Tamandua tetradactyla: one gene and its partner. The protein of the gene in region 1 purifies or fractionates together with the protein of each later gene. This does not show direct contact. Links are inferred from orthologs where the notes say so. Each region holds a gene or a part of one and is shown in the gene's direction. Other genes may lie near its edges. The genes, in order: protein argonaute-4 and TNRC6A.

What was found.
Region 2: the proteins of protein argonaute-4 (region 1) and TNRC6A purify together in Homo sapiens (co-immunoprecipitation; 4 studies listed by BioGRID and IntAct, with this or other methods). This does not show direct contact. The link is inferred for Tamandua tetradactyla from reciprocal best matches to the Homo sapiens genes AGO4 and TNRC6A.

Annotation. Positions count from the first base shown.
Region 1 is NC_135328.1:189,607,096-189,623,064, reverse strand, and holds the start of protein argonaute-4, read left to right. Parts: upstream 1-7,956; 5' UTR 7,957-8,046; intron 8,047-15,969. Other genes in the region: CLSPN (claspin), read right to left, coding at 1,179-1,251, 1,558-1,635, 2,311-2,472, 3,035-3,483, 4,001-4,109, 7,686-7,715.
Region 2 is NC_135349.1:32,288,245-32,304,588, reverse strand, and holds the start of TNRC6A (trinucleotide repeat-containing gene 6A protein), read left to right. Parts: upstream 1-8,438; 5' UTR 8,439-16,344.

The DNA of each region.
Region 1 (15,969 bases):
TATTATAATCCAAATGTATATTAGGAGTATTAAAAAAAATCAATCCCCAACATTCAAATTGAGCTTACAAAATTTACTATACAATAAGACTGCTTCCATTTGAAATGCATTATTACCTCTAAGAATATCATATTCAAGAGGAATCCCCCAAATACAAGTATATGATATTCTTAGAGGTAATAATGCATGATCCTATTTTATAAACTTTTGAACTATGTATTTGACATGTAAAATATGTACAGTATTGATATCAACCATCTCTTAAAATGTTAGCCTATAGATATCATTGTATAATTTTCTTTGGTCAGAAACATTTGGATCAAGTAGTACCACTTGGGTCAGGATCTTCAGTGCCATTTACCAAATGATTGTCTTTAGTTGATGCAACTAGCAGCATTCCAAGGTTTTCTATTTGCATAATGCAGCAGAATATTTACAGTAGTCACACTTTAAATTCAGGGGGGATTCTTCTGGAATTCAGTCTAGCAAATTTAGAGGAAAGGCCCTAAGGAAATGTATTTATCTTAAGAGAATAAGCCAATATTTTCAAGCTGAACAGCTGAAACTACTACAGATAATAAAGTCTATTGAGAGGATCATTTGTGTTTTTTGTGTGGTGTGTGCATAAAATTGCAGAGGTAAGTTTTTCAGTCCCATGTGCCACTCAAATAAAAAACAGAAAAACACTAGTATTGTAAATTAAGACTTGTAGACATGAGGTACAAATTGTCCTACATGTTTTATAAATAGGTAACTTTTTCCAAGCAAACACATCCCATTCAGTTCTGTTGATCACATCATTGTGTAAAACAGAGACACAGAAGGGAAGCAAATGATTGCTGTACATATTTTGAATTATTTTGCATGGTCTCATTTGAGATAATTGGTGTAAGAATCTAGACTTTTTTTTTTGTATGCTCTATGGCGGGGTCACATTTCCTTATTTTTCCATGTATTTTGTTACTGCAGTACCATTTGTTGAATTTTTGTTTTTTGTTTGTTTGTTTTGTTTTGTGGGAAGTGCGTGGACCGGGAATCCAAACTGGGTCTTCCACGTGGCAGGCGAGAATTCTACCATTGGACTACCCTCACAACCCCCCTTTTAAAAGTATATATTTGGAAATATTGAATAAAAATGTAAATATGAAAAAAAAATTTACCATACAGGTTTGTATTACCTCGAATAAGGCGCTGAGTCTCACTATGCAGTTTTTTTAACGCTTCCTTACTTAACTTGGCTGCCTTCCTTTCCTTAAAGAAAACAAAAAGTGAGATTACATTAGTGGTATTTTCCAGAAAGGTATTCATCCTTCAAGAGTCTGCTCCCTCCAAATAAGATGATGGAATAGTAAATACTAATGAACTCAATACAATCTAAACTCAAGGATTTCATTTATTCGCAACTCTCAGAGAATTAATTCAATCCAATCTATATATGTCCCTACTACGTGCAAAGCAGTAAGTTGGGTACCAGAAAAATACTCTAATAGACACAGAAGCCCATAATCTCATGGGAAAGACATCAAAGTCTACATGATTACATAAGGCTCGACTTACCTTCCTCATGGTGCCTTTTGATAATTCACTTTCTTCTTCAACTGAATAGATCCCACTCTCCAACAATGGCTCCTTTTTCTAAAAGAGATTGCAAGTTGATTAATATGAACAAAAACTAAAGTAATGTAAGTGGATGTTTCTTGACTGCTTTAATAGTTCAGCAACACTTCATCCTACATTAGTAAAAAATTAGTAACTATCAAAGAGGAATTTTGAAAGATACAGTACCCAAAAATGGTTAGAAAAATAACCTAGATGTCTCAAATGGAGCGTGGATCCTCATTTCTTATACCTCTTTCTTACATTTTTCTCCAAGGAGGGATAATGACTCCCAGGAAGTGAAAGAAAACCTTAGGAAGAACAATTATACTTCCAGACACTAAGGAAACGATGTTTTTGACTGAGGCCTCTCTTTGATTTCCTTCCTAGAGGGTTCATTCTCAGAGGTCACAAGGTTATAAAATTCACACATCTGACCTATTATTTACCTGCTTCTTACCACAACATAATGTATCTTTCTTTCTTTTTTTTTTTATTCTTAAACAGGCAATAGCAAAGTACTAGTTTCTGAACAAGTTAGCATGTCTATCACTTATACTGCAAGTTTCCAAAATTAACAACTGAAAACCTCAAATCAATTTACACATGCTTTTCTTCAGGTTATAAAAAAATAAGGTTCCAACTGTAAATAAAAAAATAAAGCAAAAGTTAGAAGCAGCTGGTTAGCTCTGTCCGCAATCATCCTTTACTTGCCTTGTGCTTTTTCACTTTGTTTTTCACAGCTGCCCTTATTGATTCTAATGATTCTTCATCTTCCAACGGAGAGTTATTTTCCTCCTCCAACCCACTTTCAAAAAGGTCTTTATCCATAAGAAGACAGCCACTGTCATTAAATGGCTGTTTCACATCAGCTTCCTGAATAGTACATAAAGAAAAAGCACAATTCAGTCATTTAAAAATGCAGTATTTCAAAACATCACATGGCAATTTGGTTTAGGCCAGAAAAAGCCCACGTTGCATCAGCAGACAAGTTATGTGGCATTCTAGAACAATGTAACCCACAGTTATCCCTTGAAGTTCAAGCTGCGATTTTATGTAACCGTCCAAAATAAACTAACCAATAAATAGTTTCTGAAAAACAAAAAACTTATTAACCAACTAGTTTATAAAGCTTGACTGATAGATGCATAAAAATTCTCCTCTGAAACTTACTTTTTATCAGTTCACAAGCAGTAAAGAATTACTGTATGTGCTAACAAAGAAAATCACAAACCCATTTATTTGGGGGTCTCTTCTGAGTATCCAAAACAGATAATGAGACCTACATAGTTTAAATCATATAACCCATAACTTCCAGTGCAAAGCAATCAACTCAAAGTTATATTCTCTGAGCGTAGGGACAAACTTGAGGACTAAAAGCAAATTTTCTAAAATGTTAATCTGCCTTAGAAATAGCAAATTATTCTTTAAAATGTACCTCGTTCACTGTTTCCTTCTTTTTTAGCCGCCTAATTTTTTCCATCTTTTTCCCCTCTTTCTCAAGTCTTCTCTTAGATTTTACTTTTGCTTTTCCTCCTGTTCCTTCTTTATGACATATGGGATTTTTTACAATCTGTCTGTCAAGTGTAAAGTCCACAGATTTTTCAGGTTGGAGACTTGGATCAAAGCAAGGTATCCCTTGGGTTTTAAGATTTTCCCAATACAAAGACTCCTCAGTGTCATTTTCATTACTGTCTGCCAAAGTTTTGTAAATTCTTCTGGGTTTTCCATTTTTCCCAGCATATACATTCTCTTTATTTTCCTCTTCTGTACTCTCATAGGTAGTTTTCTCTGGAGAGGCATTTCTATCCTCTGTTTCAGAATCACTGTCTTGGAATATTTTCCTGCTTTTCAGTTTCTTACTCACAAAAATCTCTTCATCTGAATCTGGAGGAAACACAATTCTTTTTAAAGGTATACAATCATTTGTCCTTCCTCCTTGTTCCCTCACTTTTCAAAAACATGCAATTATACTAGTGAGACATTACCTTGTGATATTTTGTAACTACCACTAAGAACTGAATGTAGCAAAGAAACTCTAAAAATACATTTTGAAAAACATTTTCCCTGGAAAAATGCCTCTTGCTGAGAAATGTAATTATATATATTTACAATGTGTCAAGTTGTTCTAATCCTTCTGACAGGTGTTAAAAATCCCTTTATTATAGGATGAATGTGTTCAACTAGGCAATATGGTAATTTCTAAACATGCTATACATTCAATAATATAATACAGATATTTTCAAAGAGGTATAATGTTTTTTTGCTTTTATAACAAACAAACAATAAGCTTAGTGCATTAATAATTTAACAAATCAGGAGAATAATGAAATTAATCCAATCTACTTATAGCATAGGACTCTATGTTCTATTCTTGAAAATAAAAGTATGAGATATTACAAACCTCTTTCACTCAAGGGCCCCACTGTTTCACAGCTGCCCTGTCCACTGTCTGAGGGACTATCTGCCTCTTCATGTGAAATCAGTTTTGGATCATTGATTTCTAGGTGAACCTACAGAATGCAAATATACTTTACATTAACCAGCAGGTGACAGAAAGCACCAATACCTAATGATACACAAATCGTCATGGGAACATCAGAAGTAATGAAGAAACTTGTGCAATGGTTCAATGAAGGCATGGCATTAAGAAGTACTGGACAAAAACAAATAAAAATTCATTGGTCACCTTTGAAGGATGCTATAGAACCAACACTTTATTTTTAATAATAGTAAATAAATGAAAGGAAGCAGTTATTTATTATGGTTTTCCTGTGTAAACAGTTCCTCACTGTGTACAAAAATGATTGATGAGAGGAAGTTTTCCCTTAGGGAAATATCCTAGCTAATCAATAAAAAAGAAGTGATAGAATTAGACAACCAGAATTTTAGCAACCCTCCCTCAAATAACAGAACTAGGCAATGATCCTCAAGGGTGGCTAACATGACAAAACAAGAGAAACAACCAGACTTATGTGCTGCCTGATAGAAGTACTCAATACCACCTAGGAAACATTCTTGCCAAAACAATAAAATCTAAATATGATCAAGTCTCTAGCCAAACTACTCGTTTAAAGGAAATATAGGGACAGAGGAACATGTTAAGTAACACCACATAGATGCAATTCAGAATGTAGGAAACTCTTCTACAGGACAAACTATACAGATTCTCTAACAAATAAAATTGCAAGAAAAAAGAGAGGGATTAAATAGAGTTACGATATTTATCAACAATTGCAACATACAGACCTTGTCTGGATCCTGATTCAAACAAAATTGAAAAAAATGTAAGTCAACTAGAGTTTTAATATTAAGGAGCAATTCTAAAATTTCAATTTTAGCAATTAAAAATTTAGTGTTAATTGTGATTTATGTTTTTTCAGAAAGCCCTATTATGGGATAAATCACATCCCCTACAAAATCTTAACTCCCCATTCTGTGAATGTGAACTGATGTGTAAAAAGGATCTTTGAAGATGTTATTAGTTATAGTGAGATCATATAGAATCAGGGGAGGCCTCAATCCAGTATGACTTATAAGCAGTGGAAATGTGGACAGTTGACAGGAGATAGATGATAATGTGACAAAGGCAGAGATAGTTATGGATTGCTAACAAGCCTCCACCAGAATGCTGCAGACTCCAGAGAAAGCACAATCTTGCCAACACCTTGATTTTGGACTTATAGTCTCCAAAACTATGAGACAGTACATTCCTCTTCTTTAAGCCGAACAGTCTGTGGTGTTAAAGCAGCCCTAGTAAACTAAGACAGCCCTTAGCTTTTAGGGACGCATGCTGAAATATGTGGATGGAATGCTATGATGTATGGTTTTGTTTCCAAGTAATCAGGTATAGGGGGCAGTGGGTAAGGGTATAGGAGAAACAAGACTGGCCATGATTTGAAAAGTGTTGGAGTTGAGTGATGGGTTCATTGTATCAGTCTCTCTAAGTCTGTATAGGTTTAGGAATTTATTTTTAAAAAGTCACAAACTAGAAAAACTTAAGGAGAGGTGTATTAAATGACTTGACCAGTTAGTGACAAAGCAGACCCCAGAAGCCAGGTCTACTACCTCCTTAGTGTTCTCAGGGCTCTAAGTCAAAACTTCTTAAAAAGGGGGAAAATATTAACATCTGTAATGTAACAGGGCACAAGGCCTTACCTCTCAAATAACTATTAAATCGATTTCAATGTCTGATACACCTATTAAAATAATGACAAAATGTAACACACTGAGGAATCACTGGGAATTATGAGGTAAATCCTGATTATCCTTCCAACAATCCAAAAAGGATTAGTTCTGTTTGCAGATGCAGAAATTGAGTTTAGATAACCACACAGCGCTGTACACGATAAAGCTTTTAATCTTTTCCATTCCAGGCAATTTCTAGCAGCAGCTGCTACAACAAAAGCAGGAGGAGATGGTGACACACCAGAAAAACTCAGTAATCAAGATAAATAATATTTTAATGCAATATCTTTTAAAGTATCAAAATGGCAGACTATGGCTCATGGGGTCAGTTGCTTGTTTTTTGTTTTTTTTTTCCCAGTTGCTTGTTTTTGTAAATAAAATTTCATTGGACTGAAATCAGGGACTGGATTACTGTAAGGAGAATGAGGTGGGGTAAGGTGAGTGAGGCAGGGAGGATCTTGTCTTTATTTGATATTTTGTTCAATTATCAAATCATGGAATTTTTTGCATTAATTTTGATTTTTGTGGGTTTCTTGTTCTTTTTTTAAAAACAATTATTTTGAAAAATAACATGCAAAAAAGTGATAAATTTCAAAGTACATTTTAACAAGTAGTTACAGAACAAATTTCAAAGTATGATTTGAGTTACACTTGCACAAGTTCAGATATTTCCCCCTAGCTATTCTAATACACTGGAGACTAAAAAGAAATATCAATATGATTCAATAGTCATACTGATTTGTTAAATCCTATCTTCTGGGTTATAACTCCTCCTTCTCCTTTGAACCTTCTCCCAAACTTTAGGGCTATTTGGGGAATGACCATTCTAAAATCTTCATGTTGAAAAGGGGTGTTGACCTTATGGGGTAGGGGGATGCAGCTGGTTGATGTTCTTGGAGAGACTGGTACCTCTGGGTTTCAGGGATTAGCTGGTATAGGAACAATCTGGAGGTTTTAGGTTTCAGAAAAGCAAACTCAGTAAGTGAAACTTTATTATACAGTCTCAGAGTACTGGGTATTCTTTAGGGTTTTCAGGAATACTGTTGGTTGGGATTTAGCATACCATGGCATTTTGCAATATCTAGCTGAAGCCTGCATAAGAGTAACCTCCAGAACAGTCTCCCGACTCTATTTAAAATCTCTTAGTTATTGAAATTTTATTTTATTACATTTCTTTTCCCCCATTTGGTCAGGAACACATTATCAATGTTTCGAATTAATTTTGATTTAAAAACTATTAGATATTTTAGCCAGAGGGGTTTTTATTGTTTCTTTTTGTTTTGCCGCCTTAAATTCTGCACCCCAGAAAACAGTAGGAATCTGGAAATGTAGTTTTTAAGCCCAAAAGTCAGCCATCAATCGGGAAGGCTCGAAACCGCTCCTTCCCCACAGCGGGCCTAGTCGGAGAACGGGGGGAGAGGGAGGGAGGGCTTAGGGTGACATCAGCGCGCGAGGACATCAAAGGCCCCTTCTAGACTCAAATCTCAAACTTCCCAACAACGCTGCCTCTATCGAGAATCCTGCCCTGCACTCTGGCGACCCTATTCGGCCTGGGCCTTCCTCTTTTGGGGCGATTTAAGAGGAAAAGCAACCGCGTCAGGAAACGCGCCAAAGCAGAGAGGCAGGTGGAGGAGAGATGGGCAAGCGCTAGACAACAATTGGCTGCAGGCAAGGGGCGCCGCAAAGACTCCGGAAGCCGGAGAGCGGGAATCCAGGAACTGCAGGAATCCGCCCGCGGAAAAGTAACCCGCAGAGTCCCGGGGCCGCCGAGCCGGCCGCGGGGCACGCCGGGAGTTGTAGTCCTCCAGGCCAGGCGAACCCGGCTCTGCTAGTCTCCATCAGTGCCCCTCCCCGCCCCTCGGCGCCGGGCCTCAACAGCCCGGATGGAGGGACGTACATACATTCACCTCAGGAGCCACGTCTCCCGTCATGATTCCAGTCACCACAGCGCTGTGCTCTGGACCAAGCAGCTTTCCGGCTCCTTGTCTGGGAGTACCCGCTCCAGCCGTCTTCAGCTATGCTGCCCGCTTCGAGCTTTCGCGCCCAGCCGGAGTGGAAGCCCCACCCTCGATGATTTGCACCAATCGGAAAGAGGCTTTCGGAGTCTCTGCCCCCCACTCCGTCCTACCAATCACTAAGCGCCTCCGAGTAGTATAATCTGGGTCGGGTTGGCGGGTCGCGATTCGTCTTGTCAGCTGAGCGGGTGCTGGGGTGAAGGTGCGCTAAAGTATCGGGAGATCGGGTTTCTGGCCTTGCAAGAAGGTAACAAGCCAGTGGTGATCTTTGACCTTTGACCCTTGCCATAGCTCGGCCACTCCCATCCAGCGCAATTTGAGGAGTGAGCCCTCCAGGCGGTTAGTGAGCTGGGAGGAGGTCCCAGGGCTCCTGTGGTGTTCTGAATCTTTCCAGCGGGAGTCCAGGCACCTCTGGGGGACTTCTCCAATTGCTCCAGCCCTTCAGCCAGCTATATTCCGTCTGCCCCTTCTTGTGTATGACATTCATGCCACGGAGCACAAAAGAAAAGAAACATTGTGGTCTGCTCACATAGCAAAGACTATCTTTGTCATCCATCCCACTTCAATCTTTCTGTAAAGCAAAAAGGTAAAAGCTTTGGAGTCACAGTAATCCCAGAGAATTCTAATCCCAGTTTTGCCAGTAGGTTGGTTATCTTTTTGCTACTCCAGGTCCATTTCCTGTCCTTTCTTTCTCCTGCCCTGTGTCACAGCAAAATGAACCTCCCGGCACTGCATTACTCCATCTTGTGGTCAGGCTTCAGGTTGGGTTAGGCCATCGAAGGGCACCATGAGGAGAACAAAGAGCGCAAGGAAAGAAAAATCAGCCTATTTACCACACCTACCACCTCTCCCACTCACAGTTCTATCCACCAGTAGGATGACCAACTAGTCCCAGTTTGCCCAGGACTTTCCCAGTTTTAACACTGAAACTCCCACATCTCTGGGACCCTGCCGGACAAACTGGGATGGTTGGTCACCCTCTCCGCTGGTTCCCTCTTCCAAGTTTTCTAAGGTGCTGGGAAATGGGTGTTATAGTTAAGAGCCATTTATTGGTAGAATCAACAAAACTTGGAGACTGATTAGATGGAGGAATGAAAGGAAAGAATTGAAAATTTTGAATTTGGAAGACAGAGTAGAGGTGATTATGAGATAAGCAGAGTAGGTTTGAGGTGCAAATGATTAGACAAGTTTGACATTTGCTGGATACTTCATTAGGGAGTTGAAAATTTCTTTCACAAGTTGCAGAGAGATTTGAAGATACACTTTTGAGAGAGAATTCGGGAAGAATAATATATGTCAAGTACATTCAACAAATATTTATTGATTCCCCTACCATGAGCCAGGGATGTTCTTGGTTCTCAATGTGTGGTTCCCAGACCAACAAACAACATCAGCATCATCTGGGAACTTGTTAGAAATGCAATTCTCAGACCCCACTTCAGGCATGTTGAATCAGAAACTTTGGGGGCAGGAAGTCTCACCACTGTGGGTTTTAACAAGCTTTTGAAATGATTTTGATGCCTGCTCAAGGTAGAGAATAGCTATTGGTAAATAATACAAAGTGCTTGTCCTTTTGGAACAGAAAATAAATAGACATAAATAAAATTTCAGACAATAATAAATGCTACTGGGAAACTAGAGCAGGGAAAGGAGGGAAAATGCAGAGACTACTCAGGCAAGTTCTCTTGGATGGCTTCTAGGATCCCTGAAGTCAGAACAGGGTGTGACTCCCCGTTACTAGCTTTTTAAAGGCCTTTAGTTTCCTCATCTGCTAAAATGGAGGTAACAGTATTACTTAAATCACAAGGTTACTGTGAAGAGTAATAAGATGAGACTTATAATTACTTCTGGCACGGAGTCAGCGCCCCCAAAATCTTAGCCCTCTAAATATGAGAGTGAGTGCTATAGATGCATATTTTGGAATCGTCAGTGTAGAAATTAATAATAAAAGGATAAAGGTGGATAGAGTGAGACATGAGAGGAAAAGAGGATGATGATAGGATCTTATTGGTGGGTGTGGGGATAGAAGGCAGTTTGTAATTGGTTGAGTAATGAATGAGAGGTGAAGAAAGGAAGCTGAAGTTCCTAGAGTACCTTTTGATGGAGATGGAAGGTGGCTGCAAGGGAAAGATCTGTAGTGTTTAAAGGGATTAGCCTGAGCCTGTCCCATAGATGACTTTATGGCCTTATGTAAGTCATTTAGCTTTTCAGAGCCCTGCTGTCTTATTTACAGACCTTGGATCAGCTCATGATTCTCAGATTGGCTTAACTGACAGAGCACCTGAAAGTATGGTATTTGTAGGAAATGCTTTGCAATATTGCTGATTTTAATCCAGTAATATAAATTCAGAAAAGTTTCTGCTAGTAGAATCTATCATTCCATCACACTAATCAATATTAAAAAGAAATACTGAAATTACATGTCCATGAAATCATAAGCCATGGAACTTAACATGCTCAGCCCATTCCAAAGTATTCTATTTTTATTTGCTCACTGGTACACAATCAAATGCAGGCCCCAAAGGCTTAAGAAAGTTTGGAAGGAGAAAATTAACTAAATTGTATCTTTTATTTCAACTTCTCTGCAAATTGAGAAAGCCTACCATGTTTATTTTCTAGTGCTGTTATTCCTCTGAACCAAGTTTGAGATCGACTTGCTTTTCTAAAGTCCTAAAACCTCTAGAATCACCAAACACGGATTTTTAATCTTCATCCCTGGGAAGCAGCGCCACCATGTGTTATGTCTTGGTCATGTCAATCCATCCATGGTTAGCAGCCACTCCATCCTAAAACCATTTTCTTTTCATTTTAAGATTGTTCAGAGTTACTTAAAGTTTCCTTTGGTGGCATGAAATGCTTATTTTCTCCAAGTATCTGCTTTTAAAAACGACCCCTTGCCATTTTTCTATATATTTAAAAAGCTTCTTTTGCAAAGTGCCCTCTTGAAGGCCAGGGCTATTTTTCTTGCTTACTATAGTTAACCCCTGACCTTTAAAAATGGCACTGGACCTGACACATTGTAGACACTTAATAAATAATTGCTGACTGAATCATTAAAATATCATAGCCTAAAAAAAAAAAAAAGTACCAGGGCCTTTTCCCATCAGCTATTTTGTGTGCAGAATGTCCTTTGCCACAACCTAAAGTACCCATAACATACTCATCCACTTATTTGAGAAATCTTGAGCACCTATTTTAAGCCTATTCTAGATGCTGAAAATATAAAGATAAATAAAATACAGCCTTGTTCTCAAAGAGTTTCACATTGCTGGGTTGGAAACAGGCAAGCAAACAAGAGTGTGCAATAATGGAAGAGCAAATATAAATGGAACAACTTTGGGATGAGCTAAGCATGTTAAATTTCATAGCTTATTATTTCATAGACATGTAATTTCAGACTTTCTTTTTAATATTGATTTGTGTGGTGGAATGATAGATCTACTAGTAGAAAGTTTTCTGAATTTATATCACCAGATTAAAATCAAGTGGCTTTGGGGGCCTGAGGTGGGGCAAATGGCTTCACCTTGGGAAAGTCAGCAAGAGATGATCCCTGAACTGATTTTTGAAGATGAATTGGAATTCTGCAGGCCAACGTGGGGAGAAGAAGACATGCAAGGCATGTGTAGAGGCTTGATGCAGCATGTTATGTTTGGGAAACTAAAAGTAGATCAGTATGAGGAAGTCATGGGGGGGATAGTTGGGGTACAGCTAGACAAAACGATATTGTATCCACTATGGGCCAAAAGGTGATTTTGCCACTGGTATTCAATCAGGGGATTTGTCACAGTTGTTATAATGACTAAGGTTTTACTGGCCAAGGTGGGGCCAGTAAAGGGTGGGGCCATGGTTGCTAAACATCAGTGAAAAACTGATGTTTATGTCCGTGTTTATATAGGCAAAGAAGAAAACGGATACTATTTTAGGCAGGGAAAATGGAATGGGTAAAGGCATGGAGACAGGAATGATGATAAGATTTTTAGGGAATGACAACAAAGGATCATTGTGGATCATTGTGGAAGATTGTGAGAATAATCATGGCGTTCTGTCGTCTCCCTTTTACATAGTGATTTTGCCATTCTTCCCATCAAGAGGCAGAATCTTGTTCTCCATCTCTTGAATTTGGGCTGAACTTGTGACTTACATTGGTTGACAGCATATGGTGAAAGTAAAATTGTGTGGCTTCTGAGGCTGGGCCTTAAGGGGCTGTGTAGCTTCCACTTTCATTATCTTAAACTACTGCCACCACCATTTCAGAAACCCAAGCTATCCTTTTGAATGAACCACATAGAGGAGAATCAAGACATCCCAGCCAACAGCAAACGGTCAGACCTGATCATCCTGGACCATCCAGCCCTACTGAGCCTCCATATGAATGCAAACACAAGAGTGACCAAGGGTGAGACAGCAGAATCGCCCAGCTAAACCCAGCCAAAATTACAGAAATAAATGGTTGTTTTAAGTTGCTATATCTTGGTGCTATGCAGCACCTGAAAATTGGCCAGGCCAAGTGATACTGTTTTGAATAAACTCTTATGAAGATTACATTCTTGTAGCAGTAGATAGACAATAGACAATACGTAGATAAATATTTAATAGATCAGGCAGTGATAAGTCCTTTGAAGAAAAATAAAGGGTGCTAAAGGTTAGAGAGTGATAATGTGGTTGGGGGTTGTGCCAGTTTGAAAGGATGTATGTACCCTAGAAAAGCCATGTTTTAATCCTAATTCCATTTTGTAAAGGCAGCTGTTTCTTCTAATCCCTATTCAGTACTGTATGTCTGAAACTTTAATTCGATCACCTCCCTGGAGATGTGACTCAATGAAAAATGGTTGTTAAACTGGATTAGGTGGAGATGTGTCTGCACCCCTTCCAGGTGGGTCTTGATTACTTTACTGAAATCCTATAAAAGAGGAAACATTTTGACGAAAGGAGGAGATTCCTAGTTTAATTGGGATATTTTCTCAGCCTTAGAACTGTAAACTAGGAACTTATTAAATTCCCCCTTTTTAAAAGCCATTTCATTTCTGGTATATTGCATTCTGACAGCTAGCAAACTAGAACAGGGGCGAGGGGAAAGAAGTGCTATTTTGGAAAGAAAGATCCTTTGAAGAAAATATGGGAATGTTCTAGAAAAGAGGTTTTCATGCTGAATGACCCTCTAGCAATTATTAGCAAGTTTTCCCATGATATTAACCCAGATAAAATTAATTTATAAAATCATAAAAAGTCAACTCTGGGAGAAACTTTAGAAATCAGCTCATCCTTTCTCCTCATCTAAACAAGTGAACCCCAGAAGGGGAAGGTGTTATGTTGTCTATATTTTACTTTTAATATTTCAAACTAGAAAGTGTAATATACATGTGTGTGAGCTACTTTCAGTGTAAAACCTGGAGACCATTTGTAACACTTGAAGTACCCTAATAAGAAATATCAAACTCTAGAAGTGGTTAGTATCTGAGAAATTCCAATCAATAGTCCACGTTCTAGTAGCACTTATTGCAATAATGTCAACCACCTTCATCTCCAGTCAGCACTAAAGAGCAGTTAGATGTGGCTAGATGCTAGATGTCAAATATAGTTTTTATGGGTAAAATGAGTGGTGTCAAGATATGTGATTTGGCTAGAAATATCGTACGTGGATCCTCCAACCTTCGTGACCAAGATATGAGAATCTAGTGGGCCTAGCAACAATATTTCTCAGAGTGGTTTTAAGGGCTAGGAACTCTTCAGTCCTTTTCTCCCCTGATACCTTATTCTGACTAGGGGGTTAGTTTGATCCTGGTGCTAGAATATTCTTGTTACATAAAGAAACCTTTCATGCAATGTGCTTGGCAGAGTGCTTAAATGGGCCAAGAGCTGGAATTTCATCAAGTCTACAAGTTGTATGACTGGTTTTGCCTGCTTGTTAATAAATATTTGATCAAGTGGCAGGTTTAATTCTGAGACTTGCTTCCATTGTAACACATGATTTGGTAGTAAAGTCTGGGGAATGAACACATGTTCATCTCTCAGTGTTAGAAATTATTATCTGCCTTCCTCCCCTTGATAACAAAAAACCACTCAGGAATCAATAAATACATATTTATTATTATTATATAATTAATAAGTAAACAAATTGGCTTGGATTAGTTTGTAATCGAAGATGATTTGCCTAAGGTCACCAAACAAATTGATTCCTTCCACCATTTAATGCCAAATCAAACAATTTACACCCATATTACCAAAGAAAAACCAGCCAATGTTGAGTTAAGGTGTACAATGCAGTGTTTTAGGAAGTTGGGCTTGCTTCAGCCTGGAGAATGGGCTATGGAGAACACTGGAGACAGGAAAAGCAATGAGAGATTGTTGCTATAACCCAGATAAGAAATGAGTCAAAGGCACAGCAAGGTGTAATGGAACAAGCATGGGCATTGCCATTAGAAAGATGCTGGTTCAGCTCCTAGCTCTGCCATTGATCAGCCACGTACCTGTGCAGAAGTCACTTCTTTCTTCTCGGATTCAATTTCCCCCAATCAGATGGTATTTTCATTTTCTAAGCTGCTTAAAGTAGATAACATAAAATGGGTTGGCTTTAACAATGGAAATTTATTAGCTTATCATTTATGGCTGAGAAAATGTTCAAATCCAGATGATACTTTCTTCCTGAGGAATACCTACCAGGGAACCTTGGCTCCTCTGCCAGGTGGCAAGGCACATGGTGGTGTCTGCTGGTCTCTCCCTTCTCCTCCTGGTTTCATTGATTTCAGCTTCATGTGTCCTGGCTCGCTCTCTCTCTCTCTCTCTCTCTCTCTGTATTCATTCCATTTAAAAAGTATTCCAGCAAGAAGATTAAGATCTACCCTGATTCAGTTGGGCTGCACCTTAACTCCAGTAGTCTTATCAAAAGATCCTATTTACAATGGGTTCACACCCACAGGAATGGATTAAGTATAAGAAAATGTTTTTCTGGGTCAATATGGTCCCAACCACCACAGTTGATGGAAAAGTTTTGGTAATGGATAGTGGTATTGCAGTACTACATTATGAATATAATTCACATCTGAATTATATATTTGAATGTGGTAAAAATGGGAGGAATTTTAGATTATCTACATGGTAGTAGAATAGAATTTTTTAAAAAAATTTATGGAACTGCACAACCCAAACAGTGAACCCTAAGTTAAACAATGGACTGTAATTAATAGTACAATTATAAAAATGTGCTTTTATCAATTATAACAAATGTACCACACCAATGCAAAGTGGAAGTGAACCCTCCAATTTTGTACTTTTTCAAGACTTTTTTGGCTAGTTGGGGCTGCTTGGAATTCCATATGAATTTGTGGATTAGCTCTTCTATTCTGCAAGAGATGCTGCTGAAATTTTGATAGGGCTTGCATTGAATTTATAGATCACTTTAGGCAGTGTTAACATCTTAACAATACTTAATCTTCCAACCCGTGAATACAAGTTCTTTCTGTTTATTTAGGACTTTAATTTCTTTCAGCAATGTTTTGTAGTTTTCAGTATCCAAGTCTTTCACCTCTGTTAGAATATATTCCTAGGTATTTTATTCTTTTAGATGCTATTGTAAATGGAATTGTTTTCTTGATTTCCTTTTCAGATTTATTACTGGTGTATAGAAACCCAACTGACTTCTGTAGTTGGCTTTTCCATGTTTAGCTTGTATCCAGCAACTTTACTGAATTTGTTTATTAATTCTAGTAGCTGTCTTGTGGATTCTTTGTGATTTTCTGTATGTAGGATCATGAATAAGGATAATTTGACTTATTCCTTTCCAATTTGGAAGCCTTTTATTTCCCTCTCTTACCTGATTCTCTGGCTAGAACTTCCAGTACAGTGTTTAATAGCAATGGTGACAGTGGCATCCTTGTCTTGTTCCGGATCTTAGGGTAAAAGCATTCAGGGCTTCACCATTGAATATGATATTTACTGTAAATTTCTCATAAATACCCTTTATCATGTTAAGAAAGTACCTGTCTGTTCCTAGTTTTCTGAAGGTTTTTATCACGAAGTGAGTTGGATTTTGTCAAATGCTTTTTCTGCCTCAATTGCTATAATGTGTGGTTTTCCCCCTTCAGTCTATTAATATTTATTTACTACATTGATTGATTTTCTTGTGTTGAACCAACCTCGGTCATGGTATGTAATTCTTTTAATATACTGTTTG
Region 2 (16,344 bases), on another chromosome or scaffold:
AGGTAAGAACAGTTATGTCTATATTTTATGCCCTTTCAAGAAATGAGTAATCTACTTTAATGTAGGCTGCATACTTCATGTTATATTGTTTATTTTTTCCCCCTCCTAAACCAGATATTGAATGCCATTGTTCAACAAAAGTTTTTAAAAGTACTTCATTATACCACATAATATAGCATGTAAACAGGGACACTGTTCGAAACACTTCTGCCTGGGGAAAATGTTATATCATAAGAGACTGTAACAACAGGAGTAAATTGGAATATTTAGTCTCCCTAGCTAACTAAAATGGATCCTGCTCTTACAATTCATCAATCTTTACCTGAAAAGTCTGTTTTTGTTAAACTTTTCTGTTGTTTTCCAGGGATATGATTTGCAGGCTGGTGAATTCATATTAATATGTGTTTCTAGCCTAATTTGGCCGACTATATGATAAATAAATTGATAGAACAAATAAAGCGCAAATTGTATGCTTAGTTTAAAATGTGTAGCAACTGTCGGGGGAAAATTTGAATATAAACATCATAAAATCTGACTCCTATTCTGTAGCCTGTTCTGCATTTTGGCATCTGAAATATGCCTGCAAGTACAAATTGGAAAGACTTAAAATCCATTATAGTTGTGTTTTATGACAACCTCAAAAGTATTGCCTGTGATTGAAAAACTAAAGATCTAGGTATGTATATTATGGGTTCTCTTCAGATTGACTTATGACAGGTCTGTCACTCAAGAAAAACTCCCCCTTCCATTTTAAATAAAGAAGGGGGGAAAAAACCCTAAAAAGAACAGTGGACTGAGTAGATATATTTCTTACCTAGATTTACTAATTATTTACCAATTAGCATTTTGTTACTTGTGTATCTCCCAAGAACAAGGACATTTTACCTAACAACGAATTACCGCACAGGGGAAATTAAACTTTGTCACAATACTATTTCGTTCATATCCAAATTTCCCCAATGGTCCCAGTCCTGTCTTTATAGATGCCTTTACTTTTACCCCCCCAGTTCTTTAATCCAGTGTTGCATTTAATTGTCTTGTCTGTTTAGTTTCCTTGCATCAGGAACAGTTCCCTAGCCTTTTCTGCCGCTTTCATGGTATAGTCCAGGCTAGTTGTTTTTGCAGGCTTCACTGTGAATTTGCCTGATGGTTTCCTATGATTCGATGTGGTTTTAAAAATGTTTGGGCAGGAATATCCCATAGGTGATGATTTGTTATTGATGTATTATATCATGCTCCCTCACCCATGATTTTTAAGCAAATTAACTGGAAGGTTATTCAATGCTTTTACCTTTACACTAACTCATTATTTCATTTTAGGAAATAAGCAAGTAGTTTAAACTGAGATGTAATTTAAATGTTTAAGGTTAAAATAATTGTAGGTCTTCATGTTTAAATTGATCAGTTGTAATGATTGATGGTTTTATGAAAGAAGTAGTACCCTTATGAATTGCTAGACATAGACGTTGTTTGTTTTCAGCTTTGACCAATGATATAACTCTGGTAAGAAATTGAAGCGTTGGAGCTGGTTTTGTAATGTGCTTTCTTAAGAAGAATTCCCTTTTGAAGTTCGAGTAGCAGTGTGCCACTAGAACAGGAATTCTCATCCCTCTTATCTGATAGGAGGAAGTGTGAAAAATGGAATGTTTCTTTTTTTAAAAAATAAATTTTAAATAAACTTTTAAAAAATGGCATTTATTAGATTTCAAAGAATCATGGTTCCTGAGAACTTAAGAAGTATTGCATTATAGGAAGGGTGTCAGAGGAGCAGAATAGTGTCAATAAAAGGTGTGAGATTTAAGAACAGAAAGAAACATTGAACCAAGACATGGTTTTTGTTCTAAAAACAAAAGCCATGAAAATAGATGCTGTTTAAATTTCCTTTTTTAAATGGTCTTAGTTTAAGAGTGATTTGTGTTTGCATATTCTGTATGTGTATGTGTTGGCTATGAAGGAGAAATCCTAGCATTTCTATACTAGGGGAAAGCATTTTGAATTTTTAGCAGTGGTATGTTATGTGACGATGACTCAGCTGACTTCCCGTTTCAGATGGAATGTTGAAAACAAATTGAAACCTGGTTGAAGAATTTTATACTTTGAACCTTACAAGATATTTTCTGTAAACAGCAATTGATTGGATTTTGTATAATAACAAACAAGATTCAATTAACTCACTTGTTTTGCTCTCTCTACTATTGGCTTTCCATCAACTAGCATTTATTGAGCAGCTTGCTGCAGTGATATTGAATATTTTTATGGTGTGTTTTGTTGTCTTCAGTCCCTTCTGTTCTTTTGAAGAAGCCTCCCAAAACATGTGTGTCCACACAAGGAAATGGTGGTGCATGATGCTAAATATGCATTGATTTCTAGTGTATTTGATTTCTCTTTGATAAGTGACTATACACAGGATGAAATATTTTATATGTTGTTTTGCTTGGGAATCCCTAGGCTGAATGAAGCATTTACATGCTTACCATATGAAAATAGAGAGGGACCCATAATGTGAATTCTTTTCACTGCTACAGGTTAGTCATCCTCGAGTCACAGTTCTGAGCCTGTCACTGTTTCTTATAAACCTTTGTTGGCTCCCCAGTGACTCAAATTAAAGCTTAGTTTGTTGTTCTCTGCTTAGTTTATCTGTTATTCCTTGTCTCTTCTACCTCTTACCCTATCCTCAAATTCATTCTTCAATTTCTCCCTCAAATTTTAAAACTATTATTGAGATATTATTTATATACTCTCTTAAAGGATTCAGAATGCACAATTCAGTAGTTTTTAGTGTATTCACAGAGTTGTGCAGCAATTACTCTACTTCAGTCTCTATGGGTTTGCCTATTCTGGACATTTCATATATTTACTCTTTGGCCTTTTGTGTCTGTCTTTCACTGAGCTTGTTTTCATGGTTCATCCATTTGTAGCATTTATCATTACTTTATTCTTTTTATGGCTGAATAATATTCCATTGTATGACTACCACATTTTGTTTATCCATTCATTAATTGATGGACAATTTTTGATGTTTCCCCTTTTTGGTTATTATGAATAATACTGCTGTGAGCTGTCATGTACAGGTGTTTGGACATTTCTTCATTTCTCTTGTGTATTTGGAGTGGAATTGCTGGGTCCTACAATAACTCTAATTTTTTGAAACTATCAGTTTTCCAAAGGGGCTGCACATTTTACATTCCCACTAGCAGTGTATGAGGGTTCCAGTTTTTCTCCATTATCATTACCACTTGTTAATTTTTATTGAGATATCTTCATGCACCATGCAGTCTATCCAGAGTACGTAATCAGTAGCTCACAATATCATCACATTATTGTGTATTCGTCACTATGATCATTTTTCAGAACATTTATATCACTCCAGAAAAAGAAATAAAAAGACAAAAGAAAAGCCCCATACATCCTATACCCCTTAGTGTTCCTTCTCATTGGCCACTAAATTGTGATCTACCCAGTTTTTTTTAAATCTCTTACCCCCCCCCCATTATTTATTTATTTATTTATTTGTCCTTATTTTTTTACTCATCTATCCATATCCTGGATAGAGGGAGTGTCAGCCACAGGGTTTTCACAATCACGTGGTTACATTGTAAAAACTATATAATTATACAGTCATCTTCAAAAATCAAGGGCTACTGGAACACAGTTCATCAATTTCAGGTATTTTCCTGTAGCCACTCCAATACACCATAATCTAAAAAGGGATTATATGCATAAGAATAACCTTGAGGATAACCTCTCGACTCTGAAATTTCTTAGCCACTGAAACTTTATTTTGTCTCATTTCTGTTTTCCCCCTTTTGGTCAAGAAGGCTTTCTCAGTCCCATGATGTGGGGTTCCTGCTCATCCCCAGGTTTCATTTCCCATATTGCTAGGAGATCTGCATTCCTGGGAGTTATGTCCCACATAGAGGGGAGGGCAGTGAGTTCACCTGCCAAGTTGACTTAGAGAGGCCACATCTGAGCAACAAAAGAGTTTCTCTGAGGGTGACTCTTAGGCATAATCATAAGTAGGCTTAACTTTTCCTTTGCTGGAATAAGTTTCATAGGGACCAGCCCCAAGATCGAGGGCTTGGCCTATTAAATTGGTTATCCCCAATGCTTGTGAGAATATCATGCATTCCTCAAGTGGGGAAGTTTAATATTTCCTCCTTTCTCTCCAGTCCCTTCAGGGGGCTTTGCAAATGCATTTTTATTCTCTGCCAAAAGGATGTATTGGGGCATCACACTGACCTGTACAAATCAACAGAATCTCACTCCGTAATCAAGATTCTTTGTAATTAAGTTGTTCAAATAAACTGACCATACAGCTAAATTAGATATTGCACCACTTGTTATCTTTTTCGTTGTAGCTATCCTAGTGAGTATAAAATGGTATCTCGTGGTTTTGATTTGCATTTCCCTGATAACTAATGGTGTCAGCAGTTTTTCATGTTCTTACTATTTGCATATCATAGGAGAAATGTCTATTCAGATCCTTGCCCATTTTAAAAATATTACTTGTCTTTATTAGAGAAGTTGTGTATTTACGAAGCAATCATGTATGAAATACAGGATTCCCATATACCACCTATTATTAACACCTTGCATTGGTGTGAATCATTTGTTACAATTGATGATAGCACCTTGTACTATTGCCTACAGTCCATGGTTTAACTTATGGCTCACTGTTTGTATAGTATAGTTCCATGGATTTTGTCCATTTGTTAATTGGGTTATTTGTGTGTGTGTGTGTGTGTGTGTGTGTGTGTGTGTGTGTTCAGTTGTATGAATTCTTTATATATTCTGGATATAAGTCCCTCATCAGATTTATGGTTTCCAAATATTTTCTCCCATTCTGTGAATTCTTTTTCAGTTTCCTGATGGTATCCCTTGAAGAAAAACTTTTAAATTTTAGTAGGTCTTGTGTGTATCTGTTTTGCTTTTTTGGAGGGTGGGGGGTGGAGTGTCACCTGGGTATTGGTACCCAATCCAAGGTCATAAAGATTTACTTCTTTGTTTTCTTCTAAAAATTTTATAGTTTTGGCTGTTACACATAGTTCTATGATTCATTTTTGAGTTAATTTATATATATAGATATATATATCTGGATGTGAATATCCAGTTCCAGCAACATTTGTTGGAAAGACTATTTATCTTGGCACCTTTGTTGAAAATCAGTTGACCATAAATGTAAGAGATTATTTCTGGGCTCTCAATTCTATTCCATTGATTGTATGCCTATAATTATGCCAACTCATACTATCATGATTACTGTAGCTCCACTTTTTGTTCTTTTTCAAGATTATATTGATTATCTTGGGTCCCTTACATTTCTATCTGAATTTTAGGATTAGCTTTCCAGTTTCTGTAACAATGGCAACTGAGGTTTTGATAGGGGTTGTGTTGAATCTGTAGATCAATTTGAGGAGTATTGCCACCATAATTAATATTAAATGTTCCAGCTTATAAACATGGGTTGTCTTTCCATTTACTCGGTCTTTAGTTTTTTTTTCAATGATATCTTGTAGTTTCCACTGCACAAGTCTTGCACATCTTTTGTTAAGTTTATTCCTAGGTATTTATTCTTTTTAGTGCTATCATAAGTGAAATTGTTTTCTAAATTTCATTTTTGGATTGTTCATTGCTAGTGTATACAAATACAGTCAATTTTTCTATGTTGAGCCTGTATCCTGCAGCTGTGCTGAACTGGATTCTTAGCTCTGATAGTGTGTGTATATGTATGTTTGTGTGTGTATTCTTAGGATTTTCTAAATGCAAGAGTGTGTCATCTGTGACTAGAGATGGTCTTTACTTCTTTTCTAATCTGGGTGTCTTTTCTTTCTTTTTCTTTAATTTCCTCAACTAGAACCTCCAGTATGAATAGAGGTGGCAAGAGCAGGTATCCTAGTCTTTTCCCTGAATTTAGGGAAAAGTATTCAGTCTTTTGCCATTAAGTATTGATGTGAACTGTGGGTTTTTTCATAGGTGGTCTTTATCAGGTTAAAGAAGTTTCCTTCTATTCCTTTGTTGTTTTTTCATAGAAAGGATGTTGGAGTTTGTCAAGTGCTTTCTGTGTCTTTTGAGGTTATCATGTGGTGTCTATCCTCTTTTCTATTAATATATTGATGTATTGCATCGGTTGATTTTCATGTGTTATACCAACCTTGCATTCCTGGGATAAATCCCACTTGACCATGATGGACAATTCTTTTTTTATTTATTACTGAATTTGATTTGTTATTCTTTTGTTGAGGATTTTTCAGTCTGTATGTATGAGTCATTGACTTACGATTTTTCTTTGTTGATGCCTTTGTTTGTTTTTAATTCCTTGTACCTGAGTTGATCTGGTTTGGGATCTGGAATCCGGGGCTTCAAGCTATTGATTTGGCATCTACCTCGTTCTGCATTGTGCCGTAATTGTTTTCATATATTCAATTCCTTTTTCTACTGTATGCTCTTTTTTCTGTGGGAGGAAGGGCATGTTGTTATTACAGCCTTTTTTATGTCTTAATCTCAGCCTGGTGTAATATTTTTATCTAGTCTCTTATAGCTAACATTCCATGTACAACTTACTATGTACATATGTTAAGGACTTCATCTGCATTACCTAATTTAATCTTCACAACAACCCTTTGAGGGAGCTGCACTTTGAAACTTCTCACCAATGAGATGGAGGCTTAGAGAAGTTAAACAAGTTGCTTAACGTTACACAGTTAGCTGGTGGAGTTGAGATTTAAGTCCATTTCTCTTTGGCACCAGAGCCTGAGCTCTTAACTGCATGCTGTACTGCCTAGGAAATGCTTATATGAATAGATTGAATTTAAAATGGTCGTTGAAGAAGTAGAATGACAGTAGGACTAAGACTGAAAAGAGTGCATTTTCCATGGTGATGCTGGAGTGATAGGTAGTAAAGGCAAGGAAGCAGAAATTGGCATCTAATTAGAGGGTCCAGTTGTGGGGAGTACAAAACAAGTAGAACTGGTTTTTCTCTTCCAAAGCGACAATTAGTCTTGTTTGAAAGAAGTGAGATTAACATCTGAAATAATTAGAAAGTGAGTGTTATGTAATTAAAGGTCAAGGGTGAGGTCTGTGTGGGCTGAAAAGAATAATGAAGGAACTGATAATTAAGCTAAGCCACAAAAGAAGAGTAGGCTTTAGGTGGGCAGATTTGGCAAACCTGGGATTTGGGTCATCCTTACCAAAGTATTGCCTTGTATTATCTGACAAATCACTTAGATGTTCTGAACCTTGGTCTCTTTTAACTGTCAACTGGGAATAATAGCAGTTTTGTTTCAGGAATATTGTAGGTTCAAAATGGATAATATGTCAGAATACTTTGTATACTACAGAATGATTCTGTCGTTATGGTGGGATGTTTATTATACACTCAGTTTCTAATCTCACCAACTTTCCTCAACCTGAGCTTGTTTTTTTTTTTAACATGGGCAGACATCAGGAAATGAACCCAGGTTTCCGGAACAGCAAGTGAGGACTCTGCCAGTGAACCACTGTTGCCTGCTCAACCTGAGCTTTATATTTTGAAATAATTTCAGTTTTAGAAAAGTGTTCAAGAATGGACAAAGAATTCCCGAATATCCTTCCCTCAGATTCCTCAAATATTGACATTTAACTACATTTGCTTTATCATTCCTTCTTTTTATATGCATAATGTTTTTTTTTCTGAACTGTTTAACTTGCAGTCATGGTATTCCTTTACCCTGAAAAATCCTTAAGCATATGTTTCCTAAAATCAAGGACATTTTCTTAGTAACCACAGTACCATTATCAAAATTGAGAAATTAACAGTGGTATAATCTTCTTAGCTCTACAGACCTTTCTTAGCTCTACAGACCTTACTCAATTGAAATTTTATGAGTTGCCTCAATAATGTCCTTTGAGCAAAACAAAACAGTATTTCCTGGGCACGGATTCAAACCATGATCACATGTGGCATCTAGTTTACATTTGTTTAATAATCTGTTTTTCATTGTTCTTCAAGACCTTGATATTTTTAAAGAGTACAGGCTAGCTTTTCTGTGGAGTATTCTTGTATGTTTGTTGATGTTGCTGTATTTGTCCAGTATTTCTGTATCTGTGTTTTGTCTGATATTTCTTTATGCTTAGATTCAGGTTATGCATTTTTGTCAGGAATAGCACAGAACTGATGTTTCTCTCAGTGCTTGATGTCAGGAGACATGATGTCTATTTACCCCATTACTGGTGATGGTAATTTTAACCACCTAGTTAAGGCAGTATCTGTCTCTTATCATGGCTATAAATGTACTATTTTTGTCTTTGTAATTAATAATTATCTTGTGGGGAGATACTTTGGAGACTGTAAATATCTTTTTTCTCATCAAATTTTCACCCATTCCTTTTAGCATCCATTGATTCTTGCCTGAATCAATTGGTTGGTAAGTGAAGATTTTCTAATTCTATTATTTATACATTAATTGACATTCACTGTAAGATCTGTTACCTTCTACTCTTTTTTAATTAACTTATTAAAATCAGTATGGAATCATAGGTTCTTATTTCTATCCAATGGATTGTAAACCTTTACTAGCATTGTTTATTTTATTACTCAAATTTTGGGGCCATTTAAAAGCCCCTTCAACCTGAGCCTACTTTTTCAAGAGATCTAGGCTGACACTTGGACTCTCATTGCCCCCTCTGCATATTTTATCCCATTTCCTATTTCCTATCTTCCTTTCATTCTTTTTTTTTTTTTAACCCGGGTCTCCGGCATGGTGGTGAGAACTCTGCCTGCTGAACTACGGCGGCCCACCCCTGTTCATTCTTTTTTTTTTCCACATGGGCAGGCTCTGGGAATCGAACCCGGGTCCTCTGGCATGGCAGGCAAGCATTCTTGCCTGCTGAGCCACCGTGGCCTGCCTACCACCCCTGTTCATTCTTAAGAGGAAGTTGTGCTGTTTACCAGCACCTGTGACTCCAGTGCTAAGCTTTCTGCTTGTGTTTTATAGTTCAAAATCATATAATATTTAGAAATACTAAATTTCTTCTCCTTTTCTCCCCTCCCCGCTCTTCCCCCCCCCCAATTTTTTTTAACCACTTAACAACCTACTCCCCCATTATTTATTTTTTGTCCTTATTGTTTTATCATCTGTCCATACCCTGGATAAAGGGAGCATTAGCCACAAAGTTTTCACAATCACATGGTCACACTGTACAAGCTGTATAGTTATACAGCCATCTTCAAGAATCAAGGCTACTGGAACACAGTTCAACAGTTTCAGATATTTCCCTCTAACCCCTCCAATACACCATAAACTAAAAAGGGATATCTATATAATACATAAGAATAACCTCCAGGATAACCTCTTGACTCTGTTTGAACTCTCAGCCACTGAAGGTGAAATAATTTCAGTTGATTTTGTCTCATTTTTCTCTTCCCTCTTTGGTCATGAAGGCTCTCTCAGTCCCATAATGCCGGGTCCTGACTCATCCCCAGGAGTCACGTCCTATGTTGCCATCTTTGTACCTCAAATATGGTACATTATGGGTGTTCACTAACTGTGGTATAATGTTTTTGCCATACCATCCTGCTACAGACATTCAAAGAATAAGAAATATTGAAATTGGACCTAATGCCTTGGGTCCTCTATTTAAAACCAGTGACTGTTCAGTCTTTGTTACTTTTGATGTTAATACCTTAATTACACATCTATGGTTCTTGAAAATATAGTATTTTATTTCCTGACAATACATTCTGTTATAAAAGGGTTCTTGCAGAAGATGGTAAGAAATAAGAAAAAAATGGTGGAGATGCACAGTACAGGGGATAGATATAAGAAGATCTATCAATCTGTCCAGAGAAAAAGAAGATTTATTCTCTGTGGCTCTTGAAAAGAGAGCTAGTACTTTACTTTTAAGAACTGCCATTGTGTAGGTGAAAGGAAAGAACATGATTTTGAGACCCTATATTTAAATTCTGACTCTACTCTGAACTAGCTGTGTGATCTCAGAGAAGTTACTTAACTTTTCTGAGCCTCGATTTCTTTATAAAAAGAAAATATCTTTACCTTTCATTAAAAGATATAAATAAGGAAATACATGTAAAATGCTCAGCATGTCATTGCAGCATTAATCACTCAGAGGTTTGATTTCATTCCTAGGATCCTTAGGACCAGTGAGTGGAAATTACTAAGTAGATATTGGCTTAATGAGGAAAGAATTTTCTAAAAAGAGGCTTAACTGTTGAATAAGCTGCATTTAACATAGCTGACTCTGCCATTGCATGCTGGTAGGGAAGCTCATTCTTGGACAGTGCACATAGTGATTTGTATTGGTTTCTGGAAGATGAGGCTAAAATTTGAAGCTTAGCATGAATAATTGTGTGGAATATGCCATTCTGATTCTGATCTCTTTTTTCCCCTAATCCAAATATTGCATTTCCTCCCATTTTATGTTTAAAAATCAATTTCAAGATATTATTCACATACAGAAAAATTCACACATTGACTTGACAAATACATACACCAGTATAAAACCACCTTCCAATCAAGTTATAGAACATTTCTATCTTCCTATAGCATTGATTCTTAAAATCCATTACAAAGGCTTTATACGTGTAACACAGGCTATAAATAAGTAAAAATACCAAGTTCTTGTAAAAGGGGAGCATTTCTAGAGCAACAAGGCAGATACATAGGTTCTTGCAGATTTGAGGAATCCTGCTACTAGCTTTCAAAGGATGGATGATTGCTGACAGCAATGTTGTCTTAGTGGAGCATGTATCAAACATGATGGAACAATTAGACCTATCAAATCCATCAACTTTTAATCCTTTTGATAGATATGTAAATGATATAGTCAAATATCTTAGTTGAACTGTACTTGCATTTAAGTACAGGAAGCCGAAGGGTTTGGTTACAGATGGTGCATTTATGTATTTTTTCCAGTTGGCTTTCTGAAGGAGGAGATGTGGGGAAAATGTGCCTAGTTGGCTGTGATTATAGTGTTGAAGAGCGGAAGGTTTTCTTTTTTTTCTTTCCTGAAGTGTCCTTACAATACTAGCTGAATTCTGGAGAGGAAGTGTGGTAAATCTTTTAGTATTAAGGAAACCACTTTTGGCCAGAAGAACACTTACTTAGCTTATCAAAAAGCCTTTAAAATGAAATTTGAGAGGAAGGGAGAAAAAATTCCAGATAAATAGTAAGGAATATCCTATAGAGTGACATTACAGTGACATAGAACAGGATTAGAAAAGGAAATGTCTGTAATTCACAGAGCAGAAAGAACAAGTACTGCAGATTTCAGATGTTTCTGTATAATAAGCACTCATAATATCTTAAAACGTGTAGGGAAATACAGTCTTTTGGATGCCACAGAGACTTGGTGAGCGGGGTTTATGCCTAGGCATTTATCTGTTTACTTGAGGCACTGTACTAAGTAAGCACTTCACATTTAATCCTTATAAAAATTCTATGAAGAAGATATATATATGATTATCCCTAATTTTAATATGAAGAAACTGAGGCTGAGGAAGGTTAATATTTAGTACTCAGTGTTTGCTCTTGAGTTCTGCATGTCTTCTAGGATATGATACCCGGGACAGGAAATAAGATGATGATGTAACTAAATTGCATTTGTTTACTAATTTTATTCTATTCCTCATATGCTGTGGCTATATCAGTCCTTGACTTTCCAGGATGGTAGTGTGAGTGAGCTTGCTGCCTCATTACTTCTGTTACACAGAATGTGTGAGAATGAGTCATGTTTACAGTTGACATCAATTTGTTATACTACTCTCTTAGCTACATAATAGCTCTACACAGGACAAAATGACAACAAAGTATAGCAGCAGGTCTCATACTCTTCTACTTTTAACAGATTTTAGCGGTCATATACTTATCTTTACTAAATTATCAATTATGCATAAATTATTTATTTTGCTTTTTACTGTCTACCTGTATCCCCTTTGCATCACTTTAAATAAATTTATTTTATTTTTTAAATAAAATGCAATTTTATTGAGATGTATTCACACACTATACAACCCATCCAAAATATACAGTCAGTGGCTCCCAGGATCATCATGTAGTTGTGCAGTCGCCCCCACAATTAATTTTAGAACCTTTTCATTACTCCAAAAAATAAAATAAAAATATATAGAAGAAAACCCAAAACATTCCATATCCTTAATCCCCCCTATTATTGATCCTGGTATTGGTGTGGTACATTTGTTACTGTTAATGAAAGAATATTAAGATAACTATTTAATATAATCCATAGTTTGCAATAAGTATATTTTCTCCTATTTATCACTCCATTATTAATTCCTTGTAATAGTGTCGTGAATTTATTCTAGTTCATGAAGAACTATTTTATATGTGTACTGTTAATCACAGTCATCGCCCACCATGAGATTTGCTGTTACACATTACCACGTTTTCACCTCTAGCTTTCCTTCTGGTGACATACATAACTTTAAACTGCCTTTTTCAGACACATTCACTCAAAATTCAGCACTGTTAATTATACTCGCAGTAACTTGCTGCTGTCACCTTGATCTGTTTTGAAACATTTAAATTCAGTATGGTTAAACATTCTACACATACTAAGCAAGCACTCCCCATTCTCTAGCCTCGTTCTATTCCCTGGTAGTCTATATTCTACATTTTGTGTCTGTGAGTTTGCATGTTATAAGTAGTTCATATCATTGAGATCATATAATATTTGTCCTTTTATATCTGACTTATTTCACTCAATGTCCTCAAGTTTCATCCATGAAATTTGCTTTAGGATCTCATTTCTTCTTCCTGCTTAATAGCATCCCATCATATGTGTATACCATATTTTGTTTATCCATTTGGTGGTTGAGGGACACTTAGGTTGCTTTTATCTTTTGGCAATTGTGAGTAAAATGCTGCTGTGGACATAGGTGTGCAAGTGTCTGTTCCTATTCCTGATTCATATCTTCTCGGTATGTCCCAAGTAGCCTGATTGCCAGATCATAGGGCCACTCTATCCTTAGCTTTCTGAAGAACTATCAGACTTTTTCTCAGAGCAGCTGTATCATTGTACATTCTCACCAGCAGTGATTAAATGTTTCTATTTCTCCACATCCTCTCCAACACTTGTGGTTTCCTGTTTGTTTGATAGCAGCCATTCTAATAGGTATGAAATGATCTCTCATTGTGGTTTTATTTTGCGTTTCTCTAATAGTTAGTGATGATGTGCTTTTTAGCCATCTGTAATTCTTGTTCATATCTTTTGCCCATTTTTTAATTGGATTGTTAGTCTTTTTATTGTTGAATTGTAGGATTTCTTTATTAAACTTTTATCAGATATGTGGTTTCCAAATATTTTCTCCTTTGAGTTGGCTGCCTTTTCACACTTTTAACAAAGTGTTTTGAAGCACAGACGTAGTCAGTTTTGAGGAGGTCCCATTTATCTATTTCTTCTCTTTGTTGCTTGTACTTTCAGTGTAGGGTCTAAGAAACTACCATCTGTCACTATATAGATCTTAAAGTTGTTTCTCTTTATTTTCTTTAGAAGTTTTATGGTACTGGCTTTTATATTTAGGTCTCTGATCCATTTTTAATTAATTTTTGTATAGGGTGTAAGATAGGGGCACTCTTTCATTCTTTTGGATATGTATATCCGGTTCTCCCAACATCATTTATTGAAGAGGCTGTTCTGTCCCAGTTGAGTGGATTTAGGAGCCTCGTCAAAAATCAATTAACCATAGGCCAAAAAAGCGTAGATGATCTGAGGTTCTTTTTTTCTGAGCCCTCAATTTGATTCCATTGATCAAAAATGTCTATCTTTATGCCAGTACCATGTCGTTTTGACCACTGTGGCTTTATCATCTGCTTTGAAGTCAGAAAGTATGAATCCTCCCACTTCGTTCTTCTTTTTCAAGATGGGTTTTAGCTATTTGAGGCTCCTTACCCTTCCAAATAAATTTGATAATTGGCTTTAACATTTCTGGAAAGTAGGAATTTTGACTGGGATTGCACTGACTATGTAAAATCAATTTGGATAGAATTGACATCTTAACAACATGTAGCCCTCCAGTCCATGAACACAAATGTCTTTCCATTTAGCTGTGTTTTGCAGTTTTCTGTGTATAGATTCTTTATATCCTTGATTAAATTTAATCCTAGATATTTAATTCTTTTAGTTGCTATTGTAACTGGAATTTTTTCCTGGATTTTCCCCTGAGAGTGCTCATTACTAGTTTATAGAGACACTACTGATTTTTGTATGTTGATCTTGTATTCTGCAACTTTGCTGAATGCATTTATTAGCTCTAGTAGCTTTGTCATAGTTTTTTTTTCCTTTTTTCTTTTTTCTAAGTATAGGATCATGTCATATAGTGACATCGTGCACATATAGTGAAAGTTTTACTTCTTCCTTTCCGATTTGGATGCCTTTGGTTTCTTTTTCTGGGCTAATTGTTTTGGCAAGGACTTCTAGCATTATGATGAATTAAAGTAGTGACTGGGCATCCTTGTCTTGCTCCCAGTTGGAGAGGGAAAGCTTTCAGTCTCTCACCGTTCTATGATATTAGGTGTGGGTTTTTCATATATGTCCTTTATCATGTTGAGGAAGTTTCCTTCAATTCCTGCTTTTCAAAGTGTTTTTATCAAGAAAGGATGCCGGATTTTGTCAGATGCCTTTTTTTTTTCATCAATGTCATCATATAGTTTTTCCATTTTGATTTGTTGATGTGTATTATATTAATTGATTTTCTTGTGTTGAATGACCTTTGCATACCTGGAATAAAATTATTTGGTCATGGTGTATAATTCTTTTAATAGGTTGTTGGAGTCAATTTGTAAGTATTTTATTGAGAATTTTCGCATCTATATTCAATAAAGAGATTGGTCTGTAATTTTCTTTAGCATCTTTAGCAGACTTTGATATTCAGGTGATGTTGGCTTCATAGAATGAGTTGGGTAGTGTACCCTCTTCAACTTTTGGAAGAGTTTGAGCAGGAATGTTGTTAATTTCAAGGAACATCTGGTAAAATTCATCTGTGAAGTCATCTGGTCCTGGGCTTTTCTTTGTTGAAAGATTTTTGATGACCGATTCTAACTCTACTTGTGTTTGGTTTGTTGAGGTCTTATATTTCTTCTTGATTCAGTGTGGGTTGTCCATGTGTTTCTAGGAGTTTGTCCATTTCATTTAAGTTGTCTAGTTGTTCGCATGCAGTTGTTCATAGTATTTCTATATGATCTTTATTTCTTTGGGGTCCATGGTAATGACCCTCTTCTCTTCTGATTTTGTTTATTTGCATCTTCTCTCTTTTGTCTTTGTCAGTCCAGCTAAGGTTTGTTGATTTTATTGATTGTCTCAAGAACCAACTTTTGGTTTTATTGATTCTATTGGTTTTTTCCTCTCTCCATTTCATTTATTTCTGCTCTAATCTTTATTTCTTTCCTTCTGCTTGCTTTGGGATTAATGTGCTGTTTTTTCTCTAGATTCTCCAGTTATTCAGTTGCATCACTGGTTTTAGCTCTTAATACTTTTTAAATGTAGGTGTTTAGGGTTATGCATTTCCTTCTCAGCACTGCCTTCTCTGCATCTCACAAGTTTTGGTATGTTGTGTTCTTTTTATCATTTGTCTTGAGATATTTGCTGATTTCTTTTTTGACCCACTGATTGTTTAAGAGCATGTTGTTTAACCTTTATATATTTGTGAAATTTCTGGTTCTCTGGTTATGATTTCCAGCTTCATAATGATCAGAGAAAGTGCTTTGTATAATTTCAGTCTTTTAAAATGTATGTAAAGACCTGTTTTGTGACCCAGCATGTGATCTAGCCTAGAGAATGTTCCTTGGGGGGAGAAGAATGTATATAATGCTGTTCTGGGATGCAGTGTTCTTTATGTCCATTAGATGTAGTTCATTTATCATATTGTTTAAGTTCTCTATATTCTTATTGATTCTGTGTTTATATGTTCTATCTTTTAGAGAGGGTGGTGTGTTGAAGTCTCCCACTATTATTCAGAGATATTTATTATTCCCTACAGTTTTGCCAGTGTTTGCCTCTTGTACTTAGGGGTACCTTGATTAGGTGCATAAATATTTATGATTGTTACTTCTTCTAGGTGAATTGCTCGTTTTATTAATATAGAAAGTCCTGGTCTCTTATAACATTTTTTTTTTTTGCATTTTAGTCTTTTTTGTCTAATATTAGTACAGCTATCCCAGCTTTCTGTTGTTGTTACAGCTTGCAAGGAGTATCTTTTTACATCCTTTCACTTTCAACCTATTTATATCTTTGGGTCTAAGATGAGTCTCTTGTAAGGCGCATATAGTTGGATCATGTTTTTTAATCATTCACCAATCTTTGTCTTCCAATTGGGGAGTTTAATCTACTAAC